Linked DNA regions of Schizosaccharomyces pombe. The protein of the gene in region 1 interacts with the protein of each later gene in a pairwise test. Each region holds a gene or a part of one and is shown on either strand. Other genes may lie near its edges.

The links.
Region 2: the proteins of ptc1 (region 1) and atg11 interact in a two-hybrid assay, tested with the Schizosaccharomyces pombe proteins (2 studies listed by BioGRID).

The regions. Positions count from the first base shown.
Region 1 is NC_003421.2:1,997,475-2,010,087, reverse strand, and holds ptc1 (serine/threonine protein phosphatase PP2C catalytic subunit Ptc1), read right to left. Parts: upstream 5,553-12,613; 5' UTR 5,410-5,552; coding exon 4,366-5,409; 3' UTR 3,696-4,365; downstream 1-3,695. Other genes in the region: mannosyltransferase Imt2, read left to right, coding at 892-1,929; SPOM_SPCC4F11.03C (uncharacterized protein), read left to right, coding at 2,349-3,356; GATA-type transcription factor Ams2, read right to left, coding at 6,606-8,659, 8,757-8,796; nucleoporin Nup186, read left to right, coding at 10,772-12,613. UniProt on the Schizosaccharomyces pombe protein: Serine and threonine phosphatase. Has a specialized role in the heat shock response. May be responsible for the dephosphorylation of hsp90.
Region 2 is NC_003424.3:2,624,456-2,637,949, reverse strand, and holds atg11 (autophagy associated protein kinase regulator Atg11), read left to right. Parts: upstream 1-4,398; 5' UTR 4,399-4,580; coding exon 4,581-7,361; 3' UTR 7,362-7,502; downstream 7,503-13,494. Other genes in the region: sfp47 (SH3 domain-containing protein), read right to left, coding at 142-224; protein ahk1, read right to left, coding at 1,079-3,739; SPOM_SPAC7D4.05 (hydrolase), read left to right, coding at 7,767-7,929, 7,965-8,041, 8,131-8,577; dolichol-P-Man-dependent alpha(1-3) mannosyltransferase Alg3, read right to left, coding at 10,147-11,367; cytosolic thioredoxin Trx1, read right to left, coding at 12,182-12,493; SPOM_SPAC7D4.08 (uncharacterized protein), read left to right, coding at 12,618-12,908. UniProt on the Schizosaccharomyces pombe protein: Involved in cytoplasm to vacuole transport (Cvt), pexophagy, mitophagy and nucleophagy. Recruits mitochondria for their selective degradation via autophagy (mitophagy) during starvation.

The DNA.
Region 1 (12,613 bases):
CTTTAATGTGAGAAGGGCTTAAAGTTAAAATACTTTCTTAAAGGCAACTGCAACAGTTGAAATCGATTAATGCGCCGCTTACTACAACAAAAAAAAAATTCGCAGTTTAAAAATCTTTAAGAAATCATATTCACATTACAGTCTGTGATTGTGGAAACTTATTTTTTCAAAGATCCATCAAAAAAGATTAAACCGTTTTACATGGCTGTTATTTACCAAATTTTCCTTACATCAAGCCTTTCAAAATATCACTCTTTTTATGTTTACAAAATGTTAGTTTTGGTCAATTTCTTCTCGTATGATTTTATATAGACGCCTTCAAGATTCAGTGTAAACGAAAAAAATAATAGCATGATTTTTTTTATCGTCATGGTGATGCCTGAACACAAAGACAGAGTGGCTTTTATTTATTATTTTATCAAGCAAAACTCCTTTAATAATAGCAATCACTTCAAAATTTCGCATCATCTGAAGCCTTTGTTTACTATTCTGAAGTCTTGAAAGGGTAATATCTTTCTTCCACTTTGAATAAACATAAAAGTAAAAAAAAAAGTTCCTCTGTTTTTCTCTTTTGAAAAACAAAACGTTTTTCTTGATTCATCCTTATAAAATTGCATTTAGTACTGTCACGAGCATTTGAAGCTTTCTAAGGATTACTTACTCCCTAGTTGTTTAGATTAGCATTTCCATTTTCGTTTTCTCTTTCTTCAGAACAGTCTCCATTAGAATTGGACTATAGTTCGTTGCTAACAAGTTCGTCTCTCCATTCATTACTGTATACATTACACTCTATCGTTTTTCGGATTGCAAGTGCAAACCTTCTAAATCTTTTTAAAAATACTTTTGCCCCTTCTGCTGTTAACCCATTGTTGATATTAGAAAACTGTTAGGATGGTGAAAGTCATATATAAATTTGCAGTTTTTGCTGCCGTCAACTTTTTCTTGATGAGTTCCATCGTTCTTTACTTCAACAATGAATTCTTGATGTTTGCAGACAGATGTACCAAGGACATCATTCCTTCCGAAGAACTAAGATATTTACGCCAAGTTCTTAATGATTCAATTCCTTCCAAAGATGAACCGTTGCCAACTTTGAAACTTGATTCCTTGAACGATATTTCAGGGGAACCTGTTATTCCAAAAATCATTCATCAAACCTGGAAAACCACAGAAGTGCCTGAAGGATGGAAAGGTGCTCAACAGAGCTGCATAGATTTACACCCAGATTACGAATACATCCTTTGGACTGATGAAATGTCTCGTAATTTCATTGCTGATAACTATCCTTGGTTTTTGCCATACTTCGATGCTTACCCTTTCAATGTTCAACGAGCGGATGTTATTCGGTACTTCGTTCTTTATCATTATGGAGGAAATTACATTGATTTGGACGATGGATGTCGTCAACGGTTAGATAGTCTTCTCTATTATCCCGTATGGGTTCGCAGGACCGACCCTGTAGGCGTTTCCAACGATGTTATGGGAAGTGTTCCTCATCATCCATACTTCGAACTGATCATTCAAAACCTCGAAAAAAATGCGAAGTCATATTGGCTTCCCTACTTGACTATCATGTTGAGTACCGGTCCCCTTTCAATCAGCTTTCTCTGGGAAAAGTACAAAAGACAACTACCCAACCCACCCGCATTTTACGACCACATTCGTGTTTTACTTGAAAGGGATTACAAGTTTTCCAACGACTCTTATTTCACCTTTTATGAAGGATCGTCATGGCATAATAACGATGCAGGCATTATCCTTTGGGCTAACCGTCACCTTGCATATGTAATCGTTGCAGGATTTTGTCTTTACTTTATCCTTAGCTATATGTTTTTCTCCAAGCTGTTGGACAGCCGTTATGTCCAAAGATTTGTCACATCGAAACGTAAACAACCTACACTTCCTCTTGCTCTTCAAGAAGACGTCTAACTTTGTGCATTGTACGTTTCCGTAAAATATGCGTCTTCTTTCCTAAAGATGATATTTCAAAGCTCTAGTGTGAACAGGCAACTTCGTTTCAATTTATATTGAATGGTTACACGAATGAGCATCCCCTTTTCCGTTCTACTATTAGGAATTCAATGAACATTTGCTATTGCTTGTTATACTGTGATTACGAGACGGTGCATAGAGAATTGCGTTGAAACTCGTTAAGGAACTATGAAATCTTACCACATATAGAGGAGCCTCAACCTTCACCACCAAACACAAGCTACGTACGCGAACGCGAATTCTAGGGCAGAGTTCGCTGGTTCACAAAAGTTTGAACATCCTATTTAACTAAAAGGTTGTTCAGATCTATTCAGCTTTGTGATTGCATAGAACTCCCATTGTTTGTTATTCCTTCCATGGATGCGGAAGGTGAACAAAAGTCCAATGGAGTAAAAGAACCTAATACGCCCCTTCGTGAAGCACTGGATGAAATATTTTTAAATGTAGGGTATTTGCTTCGTTCCCTTTTGGCTAATGTTCCCAATGCTCTTTACCATAGTCAGTTGCAGGCGGCATGTCAAAAATTCCAGGATTATTGCGATTTGGAAGAAATACGCATTATTGAAGCAAAACGTGTTGTTGAGCGCGATTTAAGATCTTTGGAAGCAAAAGAGGTAGAGGAGAAATCTCAGTTCGCGTCTTTCGTGAGCGCTACTCCACCTGGAGCAAACAGTCTTCAAGGCAATGTATCTTTGCCCTCGGGCAATAACTTTTTCACTTCCTCTTTTGATTCTGAGAACATTTCGAAACCGGGAGAGGTTTCTTTAAGCGAAAGTCAGTTACTGGGTAACTTGAACCAACAATCATCAATCCAGCTTCCTGATAGGATGCCAAAAACAACTAATGGGACTTTAGCAGATCCAAATATGCCACCTAAGACAACTGTAAATGATCAAGACGTAACAAAGGATGCATCTCAGCAATTTGGAGGCTCAAACTTTTCTAATTATTTAAGAGACAACGATTCCTTCCAATTTGGAATGAATACGGATGCATCGGGAGATGCTCATCTGCAGGCCAGTGAGTTTTTATTACCGAATCTATTTGGAAATTCTTCTACCTCTCCGCAAGACAACTTTGGTACTTCCAATTCAGCTCTTTCCCGTAATTTGGATTTGTTTGGCTCCCCATCTTCTGAAAATAAAAGTACTGCAGGATCGGCTTCTTTGTTTCCTAACCAGCAAATGGGAATTGACTTGCAAGCACAAGAAAACTACAGTGCTGCGTTCGGTAATGATGGCAGCTTTGCTTCGCATTTAACTAATACGTTTGACAACGCTCTAAATCTTCCTACAGACATTCCAACCACTGAAAGCATAAATGACTTGTTTGGTGAGAACTTTGACTTCACCATGACAAAATGAGTTGAGTTGACTTCAGTTCAGCTATGTATGATCGGTTTAACGTGGTTGTTTCAATTTGTCAATGTTTTTTTCATGTATTATTATCTATTACTATAGTCATTCATTTCCAGATCATTCAACAAAAAACCTATAAACGGTAATTATAAAAAACAATTGCATGTCTTTATCCGGTGAGTATCATTTGATTGTATTGCTCTGCACCTTTATGTATGAAAACTAGAGTTGAGACAGTAAGTAGAAAAGCGTTGTCTTTTTCCTATGTTTAGGCCAATGCTAAAATCTCGAATACTTGGTACAATTAGTGTATGTATATATATTTTTACGTGCAAATGGTATTTTAGCAGGAACGGGACAAAATAAAGACAACCCGTAACTTCAGAATAATAATTATAATTCGACTTTTAAATCGAAAATTAAAGACGATAAAAGGGTAAAATAAATTTTTTTTGGTGAACGTATAGCCTTTGTTATAAACACCAATGCATGCACGCAAGTACATTCATAATATTTGCGAAGCAATTGTAAATAAAAATACCGAAAACACTCACGAAGAACCTTAAAAAGAGTGAAATGTTTGTACCTTTAAATGGGTATGAAGAGGGCTAATGATGAATATACGATTGATTCGAACAGTGGCACGCAGATTGGAGGAAAAGGTAGCAAATCATGAAAAAAGAAAAAAGAAACTAGATTTGGACAGATTTAGGATCGATATTTAGACACATTACTTTTAGACAAAAAAGAAGAACAAGAGAAACATGCACAAAGTGGTTTATAAAAAGAAGAGTAATTAATTAGAAAAAATAAGTCGACCCAAAGGAAAACCATGTCCAAATGAGAATACAAGGTCCATAAATAAAGGAAAAGAATCGATGCAATTACAGTGCTTGGTAAACAAAAAAATAGGATTAAGTCATTCCGGCTTCCAAACAAGTACTGTGGATGAGGTAAAGACATCGAAAAACCGTTACGAAACAACAGAAAGCACATCATTGAATCCATCAAATACCTAATAATAGTCATTACTGTATGAATCATTATCAGCGGTAAGTCCTGAATCATCGAGATCACCGGGATTGCGAGTCAAGTTAACTACAATACAAGTGATATTGTCTGTACTAAGACGTTTTAATGCAAATTCTACCAGGCGAACAGCGGCTTCGCGAGGGCTTACGAAATTGCGAACAAAGTCGACAGCTTCCTGATCCGATACTACATCCCACAAGCCATCACAAGCGATAATGAAGAACTCATCATGACCGTTCCAGATTCGGGTTTCAGTGGTGAAGGGATGCGCACTGACCAATTCCTTAAGATAGGTATCACCTAAGGCCCTTGTGACAGCAAGAACGCCATTAATTCGGTTTTGTACCATGAGACCACCCAACTGGGTCACACGACGAGACTCATTGGCATCGGATCCCTTGTGATCGTAAGAAAGTCGAATAGCCTTACCATCACGGCATAATACGATACGTGCATCACCTGCATTAGCTGTGTAGAGAACACGGCGGGTGCGGTTTTTCTCATATCTAAAGAAAGCAACTGCAGCGGTACAACCGCAAATGTCATTGTGAGTAGCCTTTGCAATTTTGCTGTTGACCTCGACAAATGTTTCGTCCATTAGGTCTGTGACCAGCCGGTCCGGCTCATTCCTAACCTTTTCCAAAAGTACCTTGTGAAGATTCTTCTGACAGTAGTCAGATGCTTGAATGCCAGCATGTCCGTCATAAACGGCAACGAAGCCGTCGTCCTGATTACCCCCAAAATCATACAAGCAAATATGAGTATCCTCCATAGACCTACGCCATCTTTGGTTTTTATCCTCCATCAGTCCAGCAAGCCAGTTAGAGGCTTTACTAGGGCGCGAGTTACCAACTGGGACTGTGTTGCCTTTACTATCCTTCATCTCAATTGCAATCGGTCGAGTTTCTCCATCCGCCGAATGATCACTAGCGTTTTTTCGATGTCCACTTGTAGAATTTTCAGAAAATGGGTTCAACTTGTGAAGTGGTTCCAACAGGGAACCTGCATTTGGATGGCTTCCCTTCATATTCGTTCAAACACTTCAGTACCGACAAAAAAATTGCTTTTCAAATTAACTAAATACCTTCAATTATAATATCAGGTATAAAATTGCTGATTGTATAGTATATACGAGAAACACCGATTTTCCTTGGGTTTCTGCGTAAGTATAAACTTGTTAAGTCAGTCAGTGCTAATAAACTCGGGCATTTACGTCACGCGTGGTATACCGAGATCTTCGGAAATCATTTTTACGTACTAGGTTAACTTCCACTAAACCGTTATCCGCTCTGCATTGAACTACATTATAATACAAAAATGCTAACAAAAGGCTATTAGAAAATTAGAAATAGTAAGCAGCAATAAGCTGTTGTTTTGAATATATGAACTAAACGTTTGATTTATTCTAGACAAAAATATTGAACCATGTATTGAAATCCTTCGACTTTTACACTTGCTTTCGCGTGACTTTGGTTCGCATTACTGAAAAAAATTTGTCATGTGTTCGTCTAGTGAATTTGCTAAATATCAATTATCCGGTCTACCCATAATAATCAATTAGAAACGTTTCGCAACATAAACATGCTAACAAGAATAACAGTGTTCATATAAATAATTAAAAGTAACTTTTTCCGTATGTAAAATAAGGATGTGGCTTTGTCCATATCGGCTTTCATAATACAATTAATGAAATTATAATTTGTTTGTATAAGCAAAACAGACAGAACTATCACGAAGTATCCAAAATTTCCATAAACCGAGCCTCAAAGATGAAGTCGAAGAACATTTGAGAAGATTAAAAGAAATAGTGTCCAACTTCTATTTTGCGACAAGATTTATAGAATGCTTGTCGCATGCTCTTGGCTATGCCGCCAACAATAAGCAACGACTTGAAATATTTTAATAATCAAGGGGGAGGTAATAACGGCTCATGGTATGAAAGAAAATAAAATAAATTGCTTTAGAAATAAAAAGAACGAAGGACGGATTTGAGGGGACATGCCTTGGGAGTTCTTACGCAGTAAGGACTTTAACAGCAACAATCATTTTTTTGCGGTTAAGAAAACGAATTAAGGATGTCATTATCAAAATAAAAATCATAAAAAAGCAAGAAGACTCGAATAATGAAAGATGTCAATTTTGATCACACATGACTTCTTGATAAAACAAAAAATTAAAGAACAAGGGTAATGTGTGAAGCAAAGGTACGCCTTTATCGCTCTTTCAACAAGTGTTTTCAACGGATAAATGCCTGTCAGCAGGGACCATGGGCGGACTACTTGGCATCACCAAATCTGTCATCAGAGGAATATCGCGTCTTTCTTCATTATCGAGTTGAGAATTCAACCCCAATTCTAAAGAAAAATCATATCTTTCTGGTAATTGAGGTGAATTCTCAATGTTATTGGATTTTGCAACCGAAGACAATGCCTTTGATAAATCAAACTTTGGCTTATGCCTTGGTGTCAATACGTTTTGGTCAGGGTCAGACAAAAATAACTCTGACCTCCAGGGTGATGGACTTTGTTGTTGCTTTTGTAAGGTAGTTGGTTTTGGAGGGGTTCTGAAATAGCACTCTAAATCATCATTTTCTTTTTCTGAATCGCAAACAGGCAGAGTTGGCTCTGTCTCTTCTTTATTTACTTTAGGCATAGGCTTTGTTGTGGTTTTCAAAGGAAAAGCGACGTTTTCCTTGTCAGTACACATGAAATCAGTTTTTCTTAAAACATCATTTTGTATATTGGCACTTAGTGAATTTGGTAATACCAGCCAACTATCATTAGACCCAATTTCGGATAAAGGCTCACGAAATGATGTATCAGGAGTAGGTGCAACAATGGGAGATGATTGTATGCGTCTGAGGTCATTTTTCAGCTTAGCAGTACGGGGACCTCCTCTGGATTTCTGCTGATTAACAACAGAGGGTTTTGAGATATGATTGGGATCAGGTGCAGAGTGTGTTGAGTCTAAAGACGTAAGTCTATTCAGAGGAGAGTGCCGTCCTGCATTTTCAAGCTCACGGAAGATGGATATAGATAGTTTTCGTTGCTGGGAAAGTTTATATACGGCTAACTCAAGCTGAGCAAATGCATCATTTTCCAACGGTTTCTCTGTTTCAAATGCTTTATAGGTAGACCATAAATTTCTTGGACGCATCGAGCGCCGACTCGTCCAATATATACCACATGCATTACAAAGCATCAAAGTTATGTTCATGTACGTAGCATTGCGCCAATTGGCAGTTTTGATGGTTCCACAGTTTTGACAATATGGTGGAATTTTCCCTTCTTGCAAGCTCAAGGTAAGTTGTTCTTCAATTCGATTCTTCCCACGTACATTGGTAAACTTTTTCTCAATGCGCCCACGAGCTATTCGAACTTGTTCTTTAATAAATTCATGAACTTGTTCACGTTCAGATGGATTTTGTAGCTGAGCTGCAACATAAGCCGACTCTGGCGAAATGGTGCTACTTTCACGTCGGCGTTTTTTTGTGCTTACTGCAGAATTTACAGTAGTAGACGACGCAGAACATACAGGGTCAGTAGCAGGATGGTCAAGCGCCGCTTGATGATCGAGTATGTATGGCTCAGAGAAAGAAGTTGCAGAGCATGAAATGTCATTTGACGCATGGAACAAAGAATCTAACTCAAGCTCTTCAACATTTGTTTCAGCTAATGCGGAGGGACGTGAAGGAGATTTTAATTCGCGGACAGACTTTTGTTTGGAAAGACCGTTTATGTTGACAGGACATGTATAGTTCGTATCAAACAAAGATCCAGAAATAGAATCGGATTTTTCGGAAGATGATGGATCAAATATAAGAGATGGAGGTAAAGTGGAAGATAAAAATTTAGAAGACGTATGTGTTTCTGGAGTTCCAACCTCGAAGGAGTTCTGCAAGGATTGGAATCTCAACTTGATTTCTATGGACCGTTGAATACCGAACTCTACAATAAACCCATTCACCCAAACTGTGTCGGAATTTGACGTGCCAGCATTAAGAGTAGGAGATAACAACAAAGAAGACCAATAGCCTAGTCCGACGAAGAGTTCATCTGGTTCCGTATGGTCTAAAAAATACACGCTAAAATCACCTTGTGATTTGCAACTCAATTCAGGACTACAGCGGCAAACTGTTTGTATAACATGCTGAATGTCTACCTGGCAAATCACTTTTTTCGGTTCCACTTCCTTCAGCACCTGAATGGGCACAGCATGTTGAGACTTTGCTAAACAGCGAATCGCGGATGCGCGATCAATACAATAAATAACACGAACTAAACACAGACAAACATTAGAAAAAATGAATAAAATTATGAAAGACAAATGAAGAGCTAAAGAGCAAAGCCATTTAGCTGGAAAAGCAAGACATACGAGGTAAAGACGTTACCGTGTTCAGAGACTTTTCCATCATTGTTCGCGAAGGGGAGACAATGGCTTGGGTCTCGTAGCTTCAAGAGTTCCTCCTCCTTCAACGAACGAACACTTTGACAATCAATTCGTATTCTATAGGGGAATATCGATGAAGAATGTGTTGTGTTGTTGGTGGGTTAAATCTTTGGCTAGCATGAAATGAATGTCGAGTCGCGCTTCCTAATGAAAATTCCGGGCATCCAAAGATACAGTAAATTTTAAATTTTATAATAAAAATGTATATGAATGTCTATTTTTTAAAAAAATAACGCGTGAATTATCGCGTTTTCGAAGATATTTGAACAACCCAGTTTTTGACTTGATTTACTTAAGACTTTAGATACGCTCGAAACGACACTAATCCCCATATTGTTACTTGGTAATGTGTGTTACCTAATGTTTGGAATTTTATAACAAATGGTATTTCCATTATAAAAAGTAAAATAAAGGCATTGAAAGCATAAATTATTTATTTTTCAATATATTATATAATTGCTAAATTCCTATATTTATTAATGAGTAGGCAATATCGTTTACTCTCATGGATGCTGAACTTTTCCAAGCTCACTATGACCGCCGAAGCTAAAAGCGATAATGGTAACTTTTAATTTCTGGCAAGTAAAATTCTTTGAGCATCACTTTTCTTGTGCTCTTTATATAATTGTTAGGAATTGAATGCTTTTATGTTTATTAAGGTTGTTACAAAACAGGTTGGTATCATTATTATGACCAAAATGAGAGCTTGAACTTATGTACTTATATATATAAGGTTAAAAAGTATTCTAGCTCAAGGTTTATTTATGATTATTATAATATCGAGTATATTTAGACTTGTAGAGGTGATTTATACGGCCGCTGCTTCAATAACAAGTAAACGTGATAAATGTAACAGATTATACTAAAAATGAAACAAGAGACTTTCTTGGTGTGCTAGTGATCGGAAGCACGAAGCGCGCAATTGAACACAAGTCATACAACTATTTAAAACCAATGCTACTCTAAGTTTTCTTTTTTTTTAAAAAAGATATGCTTTTGTATTTTTCTTTGTATTTATGATTGCCCTTTTTACGATTTCCACCGCATCGAATTTGTCTTCTCACGATAAATGTTTACACTAGGCACTAGGTATGCTGAACATTCAATTGTACAGCTGCCCAGTCGCATTTAAAAAGTATTGGAAATCTTTTTATTATAAAGCCCTTTGTTATGCAATTCAGCAAGTTATATACTGAAGATTTTGGGCTCTCTAACTTGTCTGTAATCACCATTGAAACTGTAACACACATGGGATGAATAGAGAATATTTTACAAAAGAAAAGAGAGGGTTTTAAAATACAATGAACGAAAGGGATTTCTGCTATGAACTCTGAACTTCCTCATTGAAGGTACAACGAGTAAATTAAATTAAGTTAACAGTTATTATAGCAAATTAGAGATTATAGGTATGGTAGACGAGGAAAAAGTTAATTCAAATACTCTTTCTAAAAGTTGTATTTTAATTAATCCTTATAGTACTTTAGTACTTTCGTTGTGAATTTTAAGAGCTATTCGAAACTGTAGTATCACTCATTTCATTGGTCACTCAAGGAGCTTTCGAAAACGAAAAAGTTGTAAAATTAATTTTGTTTATTAGTTGTATATTATTTTATCCTTTATACCCACATGGCATTGCATGCTGGGTTTAACGGCTCCCCAAGCAACTTAACAAAAATATTTTCATCAATCTTGGTAATAAAACACGATATTTTCAAATTATAATATAACTTTTTAGTCGTACTAGAGTTGATATCTTCGAATGAAGAATTTCGCTACTGCCTAAATAGCATTCTGTTATTATTCTCTACTTTACTATATACCTCCTTTTAGGACCAAACTCGACAACTAGGCCAGAACATCATAAAACCTGGATTCTTCCACACTCTTTTAATTTTAAGACAACTGCAGGTCGGTTCCCATTAGTTTTGAGAAGCTGTACCATGGATGTCTGGGAATCTCAGCACTTTTCCGCTCTTTTATACTTATTGCAGTGTATCGAAAGTAATCCCAGCAATCCAAATGTTTCTTCTCGTTTGTTAATACAATGTCTTGAATCCTACTCAAAGGATTTTCTAAAATTTTTGGCTTTAGATCCAGCTAATGCTAATTCTCGCAAAAAATTGGAATCCGGTGAAGTTGAATTAGGCGGTGTAATCAACAAAGTCAATGAGCAGTTCATCCAGTTGTCTCTTACTCTCTCTACTCAGTTAAATTTGGATGAAATTCAATGCGCAAGTTTACTACAACGTGGCATTGAAGCGTCTCAAAATCTTGATCGAACTCCCGTTCAAGCTGCGTTGTATTTCTTTTTTCTAGCTCGAGAACAACTCTTGGAATGTTTAGAATCATTAACAAGGGTTGTAGGCTTAAAAGACTTGGAGTCGGACATTTCTACAGCCCTGAAGTCTTATCTTCAGAGCTTATGCGAAAATGGCAATAATTTGGTGAAGACTTGCATTGACACAATACCTATTTTAGATAATAAAGTCTCAGAGATATTGAAAAGTGAGGCGGGCGGCCAAATACTTGGAGTATCTGAAGTTGTTGATTTTCAAGAATTTATTAGACTCTCTCATGAGGCACATGTCGCGGAGTTGGAAACTATTTCTGTTATACTTTACCAACTCGCAAAAGTAGACTTGTTTCAAAATTCTCATTTTGAAAGCCTTTTGGTCATGTTAAGGAAGTACGACTCCCCAAATAAAAATGCAGTTTTGATTTTACCCACTTTATATGCTTTCATAGACAAGGTATTAGAAGTTGAATATCTTCCTGATCAGAAAGTACAGTTGAGATCTAATTCTGTCGAGATTCTTCAGAAAATCCACCAGGCAATTATTCAATCACCTTCCCAAGATTGGCGTTCATCTCAATTCAAAAATATTCTCGGCATATGGTGGGTTACCCGTCTTAATGCGACATGCAAACAGATTGAAAAAGTTCCTTCTTTTATAGATTACGAGACCACGATAAAAAACGCTGCAAATGAAATCATTCAAAATGGTGTTTTTTCTGATATGATTACACTGCTTGTATATCCCTTTCGTCAATCAGAAACTGAAGGTATGGAATGGGCGTTTGCGTTCAAATCCCGTTCTAGAATCACCGTTAACTGGTCTCTTATTCGACCGTTTATTGCATCCATTATTTTTTCGGAGCTTCGTTCTTTTGCACAAGCATTTGTCAGTTATATGCCCGATATACTAAAAACCCTTCGCTTGTTGGAAGAAGACCGCTACTTAACAAACACTACTTACCCTACTTCTATCCCTGGTGAACAAATTGAAGAATACTTTCCATTTGAAGAATTCTATTATTTACTATCATCTATTTACACCTATAATGTTTCCTGGATATCAGATTTTTGGGACGATATTGAAAGTGATATGTATGGATTTCTCACTTGGTCAATGGGATCTCAGATTCCTGGAATCATTACTGCATTTACACTTTTACTTGCCTCATTATGCAAGAATACCACTAGTGCATCTAAAATATACGAATTATTCTCAGAGCCCATACCCGAAGTTGGACATTTAGAAAGTTTAATGATAACTAGTCCAAGTTGGTCTTATATCTTTAATGTTTTTCGTTACTACATATCGCATTTAAAGCCAGTACAAACGGTTGTCACTTCATCTGGTCTCGCACGAGTACATACAGATCCAAGTGAAATTGACACTGACTCTGCATTGATTTTACAAGCCTATATCTTGTTATTCTCTTCTGTGGTGAGGCAAGATGCTCAAATTGCAAGCACATTTTGTGAAAATCAAGATTTA
Region 2 (13,494 bases), on another chromosome or scaffold:
AATGAATTATTACACATTTGTGTCAGTTCGAAATATAATAAGGATAACCCATCATTAAAAAAATACTTAAAAATTAATGATTCGAGAGTATCAAATGGAATAAGATGCTTCTCTTCGAAATTAATTTAAGCTTCAACTTACCTTTGTTCAACAAGCTGCTGCCAATTGTTAAGCGCCTCAGTGCTGATTTCTGTACTGTACTCGTTTGAAGAAAACGAATTCATTATGGGGGTATCTCTTTCTTAAGTTAATTCGTATAATTCAGCTTAATGAGACATTCATTGTTTTTTTTTGAGTTGGTAAAGCATGCGACACTGTCAAGTTTCCAACGCGCATTAAATTTGAAGTAACAGAGGTTAATGCTGTTATACTATGCCGAGGGCAGTGTAAAGAATATGCAGAAGCTCTAATTAATGAATTTTTTATATCTATTTATTTATTTATTTATTTATTTTATTTGAATTTATTTTGATATAGGAAATAATGCTAGATTATTGTTGATCTGAAAAACAACTACGGCTTTCCTACTTTGAAATCTGCTAGATAAATTAGTAGATAACACGTAAATTGAATGCCTGTTCTTTTATAGAAATCTATTGTAAAAAAAATAAACATTCAGCTTTTGCCGGGGGGATGTATATCTATTCTCTAGTTGATTCAATTAGTATTGATAAATGACCTTTAAATTTTCTTTGATATACCTTTTCTTACATACATTAGATATACATTTGACATATCTAGTTTCAAACAATTCAAGTAGTATTTTCAGTTTTTTGCAGCTAGCAGACAAAATATACTCAAGCAAATTGCCCACATTAAAGAAATGCTTCAAACCTGTTCCGTTTTATAAAACGTAAGCATACTTAAAAGATTTTTCAAACAATATATTAGCTAACTAAAATGAAACAAATGATTAAAAAATTTGAGCTTCCAATATACTTATCAGAAGCAACTGATAAAACTAAAAAGAGCGGATATCGCATACAGATTTAAAAAAGAAGGACAGTAACATAGATATCAAGCAAATTCTCAAAATGCGCAAGGAAAATAAATAAGTTAATCAAACAAGATCCATTCTTTAATTGTAGATGTTAGAAGCATACGATTTTGGAATACGGACAGTTAACGTGGGTGCCTCCATGTCCTCCGTCTCGTTTCCTTTGCGTAAAGAAAGCGCATGATCAAATTCATTAACAACAAGGGCCCATTCAACTAATGCACGGCTGGTATAGACTAACCTTTTGCCGTTTACTGAAACACCTTTGATGCTTGACAAGGGGCAGCTTATATGATTGCTGTTGTACAGCAACATCTTCGACTGGACAGGAAGAACTCCATGTGATGAGCGCTCTAAGAGAGCGTCATATTTTTCCTTGTTTTTCCCGAGGGAAGAAAGAGGTTGGGATGGAGAGAACTTGAAAACAAACCGGTATTTCAATGTAGATTTTAACATTGAATCAGGATTATCTACCAAATCAGTAAACACATATGAATTCGAAGCAGAAAGAGTATGATGATAAGCAATTTCAGTTTCAGCAGGGAGACCAGATACATTTTTAAAAAGCGACCCAAAAGCTTTTTTCAAACCACTCGAAAAGCTATTTGAAATTGAGACGACATCAGTGACTAATGCTTGAATTGTGCCATCATCTTGTTTATAATTGGAAAGCTCAAATTCGGTACTCTCCGAATTACCATAATTTTGATAATGATTACAAACAATGGTTAACCGCCTCATTGGAACAGGTTCACTGGGTTTTGTGATAGGAGATGCCCTACCGTTTACGAGACATTCTTCGTGGTAAAGAGCTTGGGCTGTGAAATAATGCTTTAAAAGGTTTTTTACACGTAAAGTAACTGTACCTTTAAATTGGAATTCTTCCATATCATCAAGCTTTAAGAATCTCCAACATACAAGGCGCTGAAAATAAGCTCTCACAAGAGGCGACCAATGAAGAAACAATTCCTGGAAAGTATTTTCTTCTAGTAACCATTGCAACGTTACCAATTCTTTAGATTTTATATCTAAATATGGCCAGACAGCATAAATGAAAGTTATACTACGAACAATGGACATATTGTGGGAAGTTGATATTAATCTTTTGGCAACTGAAATCCAAAAAGAAAAATCAAAACGGTGTGAGAAATCGTTAAATACCCCGAAACACTGTTCAACAAGAGAACACAGCAAGAAACAAGATTGAAGATTAAAAGCAGGGGTGTTTTTGGCAACATTAATTAAAACTTGCTCTAAAACGGCTAATAAACGCATCTGCTCTTGTCTGCAATCCCCAATCTTTTTAAAAGCATCTTTAATATGTCCGACAAACTGTTGAAGAGTCGATAAAGTCGTGGCAGTTACAGGCATCTTAGGATTGTATTCTTCCATTGATGGATTTACTTCTGGTAAAGTCTTACATGGAAACTGCTCATGTCCTGTAGGTAACATTAATGGCTTTTTGTCGCTAATATGTATAACCGAAATGGTTAATTCAAGAAGATAAGCATGTAAGCATATGTAACCTGGAGCGAAATATATGACATTATCAGGTAATTCGAAAGAGAATTGCAAAGCTAAAAAAGAATGATAGCATGATAAAAACTCGAAAAAGAATCCACCTGTAGAAGACTTAAAGCGACGCATCCATGCTCGTGTGAATTCAATAGGCTGCCTATTGTAACCTATAGTAAAAGGCGTTGAAGTTCGTTTTGGGTAATACGGATGCATAGTCGAGGAAAATTGGTCAGTAAAAAATGGCGCAAGATACTTATGTGAAATAATCATTATTTTTTCGTCGAAGGATGAGCCCAAAGCATCAATGTACTTTTTCTTTACATCTAATGCGCTCAAGAAATGGTCGGCAAAAAGTGGAAGTTGAAAAAAGGAGAGAACCAAGATACTCGCACAAAATGTCGTTAATGAATACGGCAAGGACTTTTGAGAAAGCAGATGAACTACAAATGTCAATGTATCGTAAAGTATTAATTGGTGTTCCAAGTACAATAAAGCAGAGTGTTCCACTTTGTTCCAACAATGATGCTTGGCGATAGCAAGTATGGCCTTTGTATATGTGATACGTTCTGAAGTAGAAATATTAGATTGTAAACGTCGAAGAATGGATACCCACCAGTTATACAAAGAATGCCTAAGTTTATCCAATTCCGGTTCGGAAACGTTTTTAGTGGTTAAAGAAGCCAAATGTGGTAATAAAAACCCTCTTATAAGAACTACCTTATCAGAATCCTGCTGATTAATAAAATTGATGAATTGCTCGGATAAAGGACACTTTATTGGAGAAACCAGTGGCTCCGAAAGACGTAAGGTAGATTGGACGGCCTTATTTATTAAGCTAGAAGGCGCTATCTCCTCCGCATTAAGGCGTAGGCTTTGAGAAGACAACTGAGAAAAAGGAGAGGTAGAACGAGAAGAGGAATCAGAAGATGATGATGAGGGTGATTCGTTGTAAGGCTCATTTAAGATTGTTGAGGAATGGCTTACTAAAGTGTTTTCATATTTACCATAATCATCTGTAATCGAAAATGGTTCAAAGTTCGAATCAAGGTCGTCAGCTACAAGCACATTGGTTGTATCGACGGGATCATGTTCCTGAATACATTTTACCACAACAGGATAGTTTTTTGTTTGGGAACCCGAATGCTCTTCCTCTTTAAAGGAGGCTGTATTGGGAGGACCCATAATAGCGGCAAGGATCTCATATCGTGATTGAAAGTCACCCATTCAGAATTTCAGAAATGAAGCTAAATGTAAAGAAAAGAATAAGTGTGAAATGCAAATAAAAAGAATATAATTAATCCCTAGATTAAAACCAAATTAATTAACATGAGCCGTGCAATCACCACTAATAAAGAAATGAAGATTTAAAGGACAAGCTATGCAAATGCCAGAAAAAAATGTACCAAATATGCTAAAAGATGCTCAAAAGTTTTTCCTACAGTAGAGAAATTTTGACTTTTTTAATTTTTTAAAAACTTTATCGATAAAAGACAGAGAAATCGGTAACCAAAAGATTCGCGGTTAAAAAAACAAGAAAAATACTTCCGAGTTTAGAATACTTGTATTCTAAAAGAATGAAAAGTAAACAAGTAGAAGATATCTTTAAATTAAATATATGAAATCCGCAATGTAAATTAGCATCCCCAACACTTTCGTTCACACCCAGTGTAGATGCTTGGTTAAGGCTGAGTTTCCGAACCCACCAGCTTGAGGGTATACGGCTACATATGACATATATTTCAGTAGACAAACATAATAAAACCAATAATTAAAATTGTTTTTTTAAGCTAAATGAAAAGACATTTGAAATTTTAAGCTGTATTGTCTTACAGCTTCAACTCAGTGTTCATACAATGCCAATCTCCTTTTGGTAGTTAGTACCCAACAATCGCCTAAACCAAATAGAACCCGCCAACTTACCAAACAAAACGGAATATAAGGACAGAGAATAACTATATGCAACGGATTATAAATAACTGATATTGAGTTTTCTTTTAGATCAAATATTTCAAGTTTAATGTTGGGGAATCGCGAATGATAAAGTTAAGCAATACAATAGGTCAGTATGCGTTTTCGATTGAATGATTCATTCTCCGGAAAGAGTTGGACCATAGATAATGTACAATGGACTCCCCAAAATCTTGTAGCTTGGATTATGGAGCTCAATATTGGACTTAGTGATGAAGCAAAACTATTATTGCCGAACGGAATGTCTTTGAATGAAACCGTACTAAATAGTGAAAGTGATGTGGTTATTTACGTACTAGATCAAAACTTGTTGACTTTCACCTACGATGGTGATAAAATTCCTTCTATTCCTTCTCTGAAAGGACAACCAATATCTAATGTACTTACTGGGATTATAGCTGATTCTTCTTCAGATCAATGGAAAGATAAAATCAGCAAGTGTCTTTCATTATTATCTGATATTTTAGAGTCTTCTTCAAAGATTCATAATCAATTAAGCGTATGCCATGATGAGTATTCTACTAGTATTGTTTCTCCAGAAGTTGCAATGAATTATTTACAAAGAAGACAATCTGGTATGAAAGATTTACTTTTCGTTTTCTACGAAAGACTAGATCGAGTATCTGTGTCTGATTTACTTCATGATTTCCTCGCTCTACCAACTGGTTCTTTACCCATTACTCCTCTTAAAATACTTTCAACAAATTGGACTAAATTGGACTCCTGGTTAAACTCCATTTCAGCTCGTTATGCTGAAGCTCAAAAACGAGTCCAACAGTGCATTGGCGCCGCAAATAGTATTATCGTTTCCCCATTCAAGGAAGTTCCTTCAATCAAGGAAGGAGATGATGCTTATTATCATCTACGTTCCGTCGCTCAGGATGCAGCCAATATATTGCAAGAGATCCTTAAAATAGAGTCAACTTCAACTACTTCTCAAATCAAACCAAAATGTAATTACGAAACCGAAATTACTGATTGCATGGAAAAACTTCAAAGTAATCTGTCGGAATTAAAAAGTTCTAGAAAGTCATCACTAATATCTTTGAAATCTTTTTGGCTTTCCTTTTATAAGGTTTCTCTTAGATATGATGCATTGTACGAATATCTTCGACAAATAGCAGAAGAGCTTGACAGAAGCAAATTCGTTCTTTCTCAGTCTCGAAACATTTTTTCGCTATATATCGACATTTTAATGGAGGCACTGAGGAGGACTGAATGGCAGGAATCATACAATGTAAGCCATGATAGTTCTCTTCCTTTAGACCAGGAGAAGGAGCTTTCTCTTAGGAAGTCTTGGCTCAGTCATTTCTCTAATTTGCTTTTTAATCATGGCCAGCTAAAGTACTTACCAGTTTTAACTCGTGACGAAATTTCTAATTATTTACTCAATATTCAAGCACATCCGAATTACCAAACTTTTCATCAAATGCTAAGCAATCGGCTCTCAGAATATTTGGGCTTTCCTGGAAGTCCTCGAGAAGCCGTTTCCAATACGGTTCAAGCGAACAATTCATTACATGAAAAATTGGCAATGTATCAAAATCGTTGCAATAATTTAGAGGCAATGTTAAGCCATCAAAACGGCTTTAATTATAACATTAACAATGATGGTTTATCTCCAAATGCTCCACATCCACCCATCAATGAGCAGTCTAATTCTTCTCAGCCATTTTACCGTGTTTCCCCTAGTATTGTGCCTCTAAACGTAATTCGTAAATTAACTAATCGCAAAACTTCTTTTACCGACAGCCACATATTACGACTTCAAGATGAGGTTAATCAATTACGCAACGAATTAGATTTGGTAAATAAAAGAAATGAGGACTTATTAATTGAGCTTCAAGGGAAGGAAGAAAAGATCCAATACCTCGAAACTGAAAATGAGGAAGTGCTACAAAAATACGAAAATTTACAGGAGGAACTTTCATCAACACGGAAACTGCTTACGAAAAATGAAGCGGCAGTTGCAGAACAGCAATCAAACGAGGAGATGCATTCTAATGAACCGAACATATTAAACCTTTACTCCGTATTTGAGGGCAAAGTTGATAGCTTGCAAGAACTTTATAATGCTTTCAAGCTTCAACTCACGAGTTTGAAGCAAAAGGGCGAATACGCTACTCTTGCAAAAGATGCCGAAGCAGTACAACATATTATTGAAGAGAGAGATTATGCTCTTGCAGAGAAAGCTGATTTACTCAAACTTTCCGAGAATCGAAAAGAACAATGTAAGATATTAACTCAGAAACTTTATACCATTGTATTCCGGTGTAATGAGTTACAGTCTGTTCTTCGGGAATGCGTTACTCAGCCTGGATTTGATTCAGATAACGAAAGAGATGGCCATGCATCGATTCCAGATCGCCAAATTGAATTTAATTCCAAAGATTTACAGTATCTTTATTGGATGGATGGGGAGGATGCTGATAGGAATTTCCAGGAATTTTTGAACAGAATGAGTTCTTTAGATTTTGACTCTTTCCATAACTTTGTTGTCAGTGTTTTGACTCAAGCACATAATCATGAACTTCGTTGGAAACGTGAATTTCAATCTAACAGGGACAAGGCGCTGAAAGCTATTTTGGACTCTCAAAGTAAAGTCTCATTAAGGAATTTCAAACAAGGATCCTTGGTCTTGTTTTTGCCTACTCGACGTACCGCCGGTAACAAAAAGGTGTGGGCGGCTTTTAATGTTAACGCTCCTCATTATTATTTGAACACTCAACCGCATTTGAAACTTGAAAGCCGCGACTGGATGTTAGGAAGGGTAACTTCCATTGAAGATCGTACTGCTGATGATTCGACGGATAAATGGCTTCGCCTGCCTTCAGGTACAATATGGCATTTAGTGGAAGCTATCGATGAAAGATTTTAAATCATTATGTGACCTAGCTTATACCTTCACTTGCTTTTTCTTTGCTTGTATTTGTGGGACTGATTCTATATGACAGACATTTGGTATTATCATACTTCTATTTTTTCAGGTTTTGATCTGTTATGGCATTATTTACTGAAATTTGTTTTTTGGTCTCGCCTAGTAAGGTATCCGACGTAAATTAACGACTACTATTGCTGTAGCGTGTCTCTCGTCTTGTAACATGATAAATTTTTAATGAACTTTTAATCTATTCGTATATTATTTAATATGTAGAACGCAATCGCTCGCAATAAAAGTGATTTGCAAATATTATTTATCACACCGAACAACGCACTGGTGGTAAGGAGTACCTTATGTAAATTGCTTTGTGTAGTGTGTCCCATCAAAGTACAACCTGGAATTATGATTCCCTCAAAAAATATCCAAAAGATCAAGTTGGTTACGTTCGATGCTTTTGGAACAATCCTTCATTTAAGTAAACCTGTTCCAATTGTGTACAGCGAAGTCGCTCAGAAGTATGGAGTTCATGCAACTATTGATGAAATTGAACACAATAGTAATAAAGGTTAGCTTTTGGTTTCTATTTATCTAATAATTTAGCATTCAAGGATTTCAGTGAAAAGCATAAGAATCATGGAAAAAAGTCAGGATTAAATCCTCATGACTGGTGGATCAAAGTATGTGTCTGAATTTCATTGAGATTTGTGTTTTGTAAAGAATTGAATCTCTTGATTTCTAAAAAACCTTTACATGCTAACAATTTTAGGTTATCGAACATTCTTTTCCAACTCCTGTTCCTGCAGAAATGGCTGAAGAGCTATGGAGTTACTTTTCCAAAAAGACGGGTTACACGATTCATCCTCTTCTGATTGATTTCCTTAAGAGAAATAAAGAAGAGAGGAAATACATTATTGGTATTATTTCAAACACAGACGAAAGAATTCGTACAGTGCTTGAAGATTACGGCATAGATCATCTAATAGATATATATGCGTTTTCGTACGACGTTGGATTTGAAAAACCAAGCAGGGAAATATTTGATTATGCTATGGAAAAGGCTGTTAAACTTCTTGGACAGGAGATTCAACCAGAAGAATGTATGCACCTAGGGGATGATTTAATAAAAGATGTTTCAGCAGCAAGAAACATCCAATGGAATGCTGAATACTGTGACATAAAAACCAATTTCCTGAAATATTTTGAACAGAAGTAAAATAAACGCAGTCAGGTTTACCGCGTATCCAACATTCATATCTGGACCCCTTCTTCAAGGACCTAATGTGACAATAAAGGTTTCACATTTGAAATGATAATTTTTTCTTATAAATGAATATTTCGTCAGAATTCTAATAAATGTATAAATTGATTATATTTTCAACAAAGCTCTGTTGTTCCTTTGTGTACTAGCTTTTGACATTGAAGAAAAATTATATTTATGTGATCCTTTTAATTTTTTAGAGATTGATCTATTGTTGTTTTCATTATACAAGGGCGCAAATAAGTAAACAATGAATATTCCGAAAAGACATGAACATGAAATGGCTAATGCATATGCATGCTAACGAAAATTTAAAAAATGAAGAATATGCCGATAAACGCAATAGCAATCCTTTTTATTTTCTAATTTGAATGACCATTCTAGTCGCGTTATTCCAAGTCTAGCATCCATGCTACGAGAATAATCGTTAGACCAACAATCTAGGGCTCAGTTATGCATTTGCTGTTTTTACGGGTTCAAAATCTATACAGAGTAGCTCACAAAATTCTTTTCTTTAATGGAGTGTATACTCTATTCATAAATATTGAAATTCGAAGAACTGACGCAAACCGAGCAAATTCGATAAAGCATTTATTTAGCTAAAGGGATTTATGCTTTTAAATTATCTAAATTTTATTTAACAATTAGTACTGGCTCTATATTTAATATTTTTAAGACATTTACATATTCACCATTATTCCCTCGAAATGCCAATATGCTGATATAAAGAAATATTTATTACGCTGCACTAGCTATAGTAAGATAAAAGTTGCTTTCTCACATGTATGCCTGCGTTTATAGTCATTCCCTTAAAAAGCAATTATTCTAAACCTTTTATGAAAAATATATTTTGAAGTGCAGTTGAAGCTGGTAGAAGTTGATTTTACTTATTAGCTTATTAGAACTATTACAAGTTACGCTAAATATGTTTTTTTCATAATCCATACTACGCTACATCAGACAAGAGGCGCTTACAGCGGTCGAATGTATCCTTAAGAAGTTCACATTATGCAAATAAACAGCAAATCACAAAATTACTTTAACGAGGGAACTGAAATATATAATGAAACCTTAGTAAAATGTGACTGTCAATGGTGCAAGCTATAAAATCAGCAACTTGTTTATTCTAATATTTGCAATAGTTGTGCGGAAAGCACTTGTGTTCTTAGCAACTGTTTGTTTTATATTTTAGAAACGCTTTTTTAAAAGTAATAATGAGCATTTGATAAAAACACTGGTGCTAATTCATTTCAGTGTCGAATGATTAAATGTATGAATTTTTATCAATCTGTCAATCCCCTGAGATTTTCATTGAAGAGAATATTCATCGAATTATGACGGCATAAAGATACGAATTAAAAGATTAGACTAATGTTCGTTTTTATAAGATGTTAATTTTCAAAAATTTATAGTCGGTACACAAATGAAAAAACTAAAAATTTTGTTTTTTAAAAACCATGAGTAATTAAAAGTGAAGTGTTTAAGCTTTTTATAAAGTTTATTTTGCGTATTAGTAAAGAGGGATCAGGGTTTTCTGTAGTCGGATGTGTATAGCTTCAAAATAGTAATAAGCGGCACGCATACAGCGATTAATGAAGATAGTTTAGTACTAGGAAAAACATTCCATGCGTATTCTTGTAACATCCATAAGCCAATTACTATCGGAGCAGGAAAACTAGCTTGATAGCATAGATATGGTGAATACCAAGCAAACCATGCATAAAATTGATAATGCAGGGATCTTGCACATAATATACCAATCAAATTGGATGTTGCTAATGCAGTAAAGATAAAATTAGGAGTTGCGAGTTGGAGTTTTGGTAAAGGCTTCAAGGTCAGCATGGAGTTTACCATTGCAAATGGTGTTGCTCTGCTCAGTTTATTCCAGTGTTTGCAGGTAAATGCAACTAGCAAAGCAACATGAAGAAAAAGTATTGATGTGGAAAATGATGTAGACTCAAAAATGCTGCGTGGAATGAATCTCCAGTTTACTGTCCACTTATAATCGAATGCTCTGCCAAAATCAAAGGCTTGAGTCCAATACGACCAAAAATAGGCAAGGAAGGGAATAGAAAATAAAATTTGTACAATTATAATAACAAAAATATGCATCCAGGTCTTTTTGGGCCCCAAGATTTGGAGCAAAAGAACTAAATAAGCTGGGACATAAAGCAAGGAGGACATCTTGACAGAACAAGCGACACTTAGTAGAATTGAAGCTCTAACCCACTTTTTTTTGCATGAAGACAAAATAAAAAGGGAAGAGAATAAACTGTTGAATCCATCGTTAAATAAACGTAAGATAAATATACTGTGTAGACGTTTTGAAAGTATAAGCAAAACATATATATAAAAAGGAGCGCGGACAATTTTAAACAAATACCCTACAATAGCCGTTGTAATCCAGTATACAAAGGCAAAAATGTATTGCGCCCTTACAATGTTGGTCCCTCCATCAGTAAGGTAGTACAAAAGGGTGTACAAAAATACGTGCCCTCCAGGGTAGACCAGAGGGCCTGTACATCCGACAAGAGATTTATAATCTCTTTCTCCTAATAGAAATGAATTCACCTGCTCCATGTAAGCAATCCAGTCTATCTCCGTGTAGGGAACTTTGGAAATAATAGCAAAGACAAAAGGAATTTCCAACAGAAGGAGCCTTGAAGGATGTAACCAGCCATAGGAACCAAGATCAAATAATACCCGAAAAGGATTAAAAGAATTTCTTGTCTCAACTGAAGACATTGGTTAACTTTTGATAAAATACGAGACTTTAGCAAATAATGTAGACAGATCCCAGGTTTTTAAGAGTAACGCTTATTATAGACAATGGAAAATTGGTAGAGTTCTTTCACATAGAAAGGAACTCCTTTTTGTTTAAGAAAAATTGTGTTTTTAATGAAACTCGTTAGACGAACAATGTATGTTAGGATGTAAGTGTTAAGAACATGTCGACGGAGCGTAATCATTACTGTGATTTTACTCCATAAATGTGAAATTTGATTGTTATAAAACAATACTTAACGAGAATATTAAAGATTTTATTCTAATAGAATACAAAAATATGTTTGCTACTCAGATCAACATAAATATTCGTTGGGTTAATTGTATAATGTTATAAATAAAGAGTAGCATGTATTTGAGCATGTAATCAAAAAGGATATTTATTCATCCAAATGGTATCATTCCAAATTGGTATACACTCTCCAATGTCTATCTTAGAAGGATAGGAGAATAATGTAGAACAGAGTCACGAACGCCTAACCAAAAAGTCGTATTAAATATTACAAATGCTCAAGGCGGTCGCAAATTAGCTAGCTTGTCTGAAAAATGCCCATGACTAGATTACTACGCCTGGTCGATGGCACATTACTATTATTGCGATAATTGTACGCAAATCGCCGTTCTGCAACTTCAGTAGAAAAGATGCTAGGACAAAAATACTTTTCCCAATAAATTACAACGGTGCATACACAAAGAAAAGCAAAACATTTATTTTTGTTAAATAAAAATATTTTGTATTACAAGTTCATAACAACTAACTATCAGATTGCGTAAATTAGAGGTTCGCCTTAATAGAAGCCTCTAATTTAGCAGGATTAGCACCTACGATTTCTTCAATCTTCTCACCATTCTTGTAAAGGAAGAAAGAGGGCATAGCGTGAACGCCAGCTTCAGCTGCAATTTCACTTAATTGATCGACATCAACCTTGATGAAAGTGGCATCAGAGTAAGTGTTGGAAAATTGCTCAAACTTAGGAGCAATGGCCTTGCAAGGTCCACACCAAGTAGCAAAGAAGTCGACAACGACAAGCTTGTCTTGGCAAACAATAGATTTAAATTCAGAAGAGTCGGAGACTTGTTTCACCATGTTGTATATAAATGAAATGGGAAATTAAGTTAAAAATATATACTCAAATAAAGAAAAAATCGATTTAACGAGTAAACAGAAGTAAACCTGAAAAATTCAAAAGACGTTGACTTCAGGAGTGCAAATGAACTTTGTCTCTAGTATACTTATACGATGGTGCGACGTGCCCGTTTATATATTATTGAGAAAATGTGTAATTTATAAGTTCGCTTATTCTAGTAGAAAGATCGAGAGCGTACATTGTGCAATCACCGACGATGAGGTAATGAGCTACAATAACGAGGATATGGTGCCATTCTCTGCCATCAACCTACCAATTCGTTTCCTAATTTTCTATAACGCATTTCGGAGTAATACTTCATGGAATTACAACGAATCACAAATCGGAAACCTGACAATTAGTAAACAAAGCTAAAGAAGCCATCTTGTTGTTATGTCAGCTTGTTAATCGTGGATTCTCGACAAACATGAGATTATAAGCAATTAAAGCATCAAAATAATAAGTATGTAAATGTAAAGATTTTCTTTTTTTTTGGTAAGCTGAAAGATTATGCGTGCTCTTTTCTTTGCTGTACACGATCTAGTTAGTGGAGTCGAAGTAATGTTAAGAAAATTTTGTTATAACAACTGAGGTACTGATATGAAATTACAAATTAAAAGACATACAAAAATGTAAAATAGTGAGGCGATATTCCTACTGTTAACAAAATCCATTTTACATATAAATGGCGGTAGAAATTGGAAAAGGAGTATAAATATGCAGTTTATAACAGTGTCACATATACTTGAAATTCTGAAATCAAAAAAAAGTTAATCGCCAGTCAAATAATTCTTTGCGGTAGCTGAACTTTCGTTAGAACGATGAACGATATTTTAATTTATGTTTTTTCCATGCTACTTCCTCTAGAAACGGTGTATTGAACCATCGCTTTATATCAAATTCACGTTATGGCGAAATAGTACAATGCAGTTTTCAGCTTGAGAGGGTAACCTTTTACATA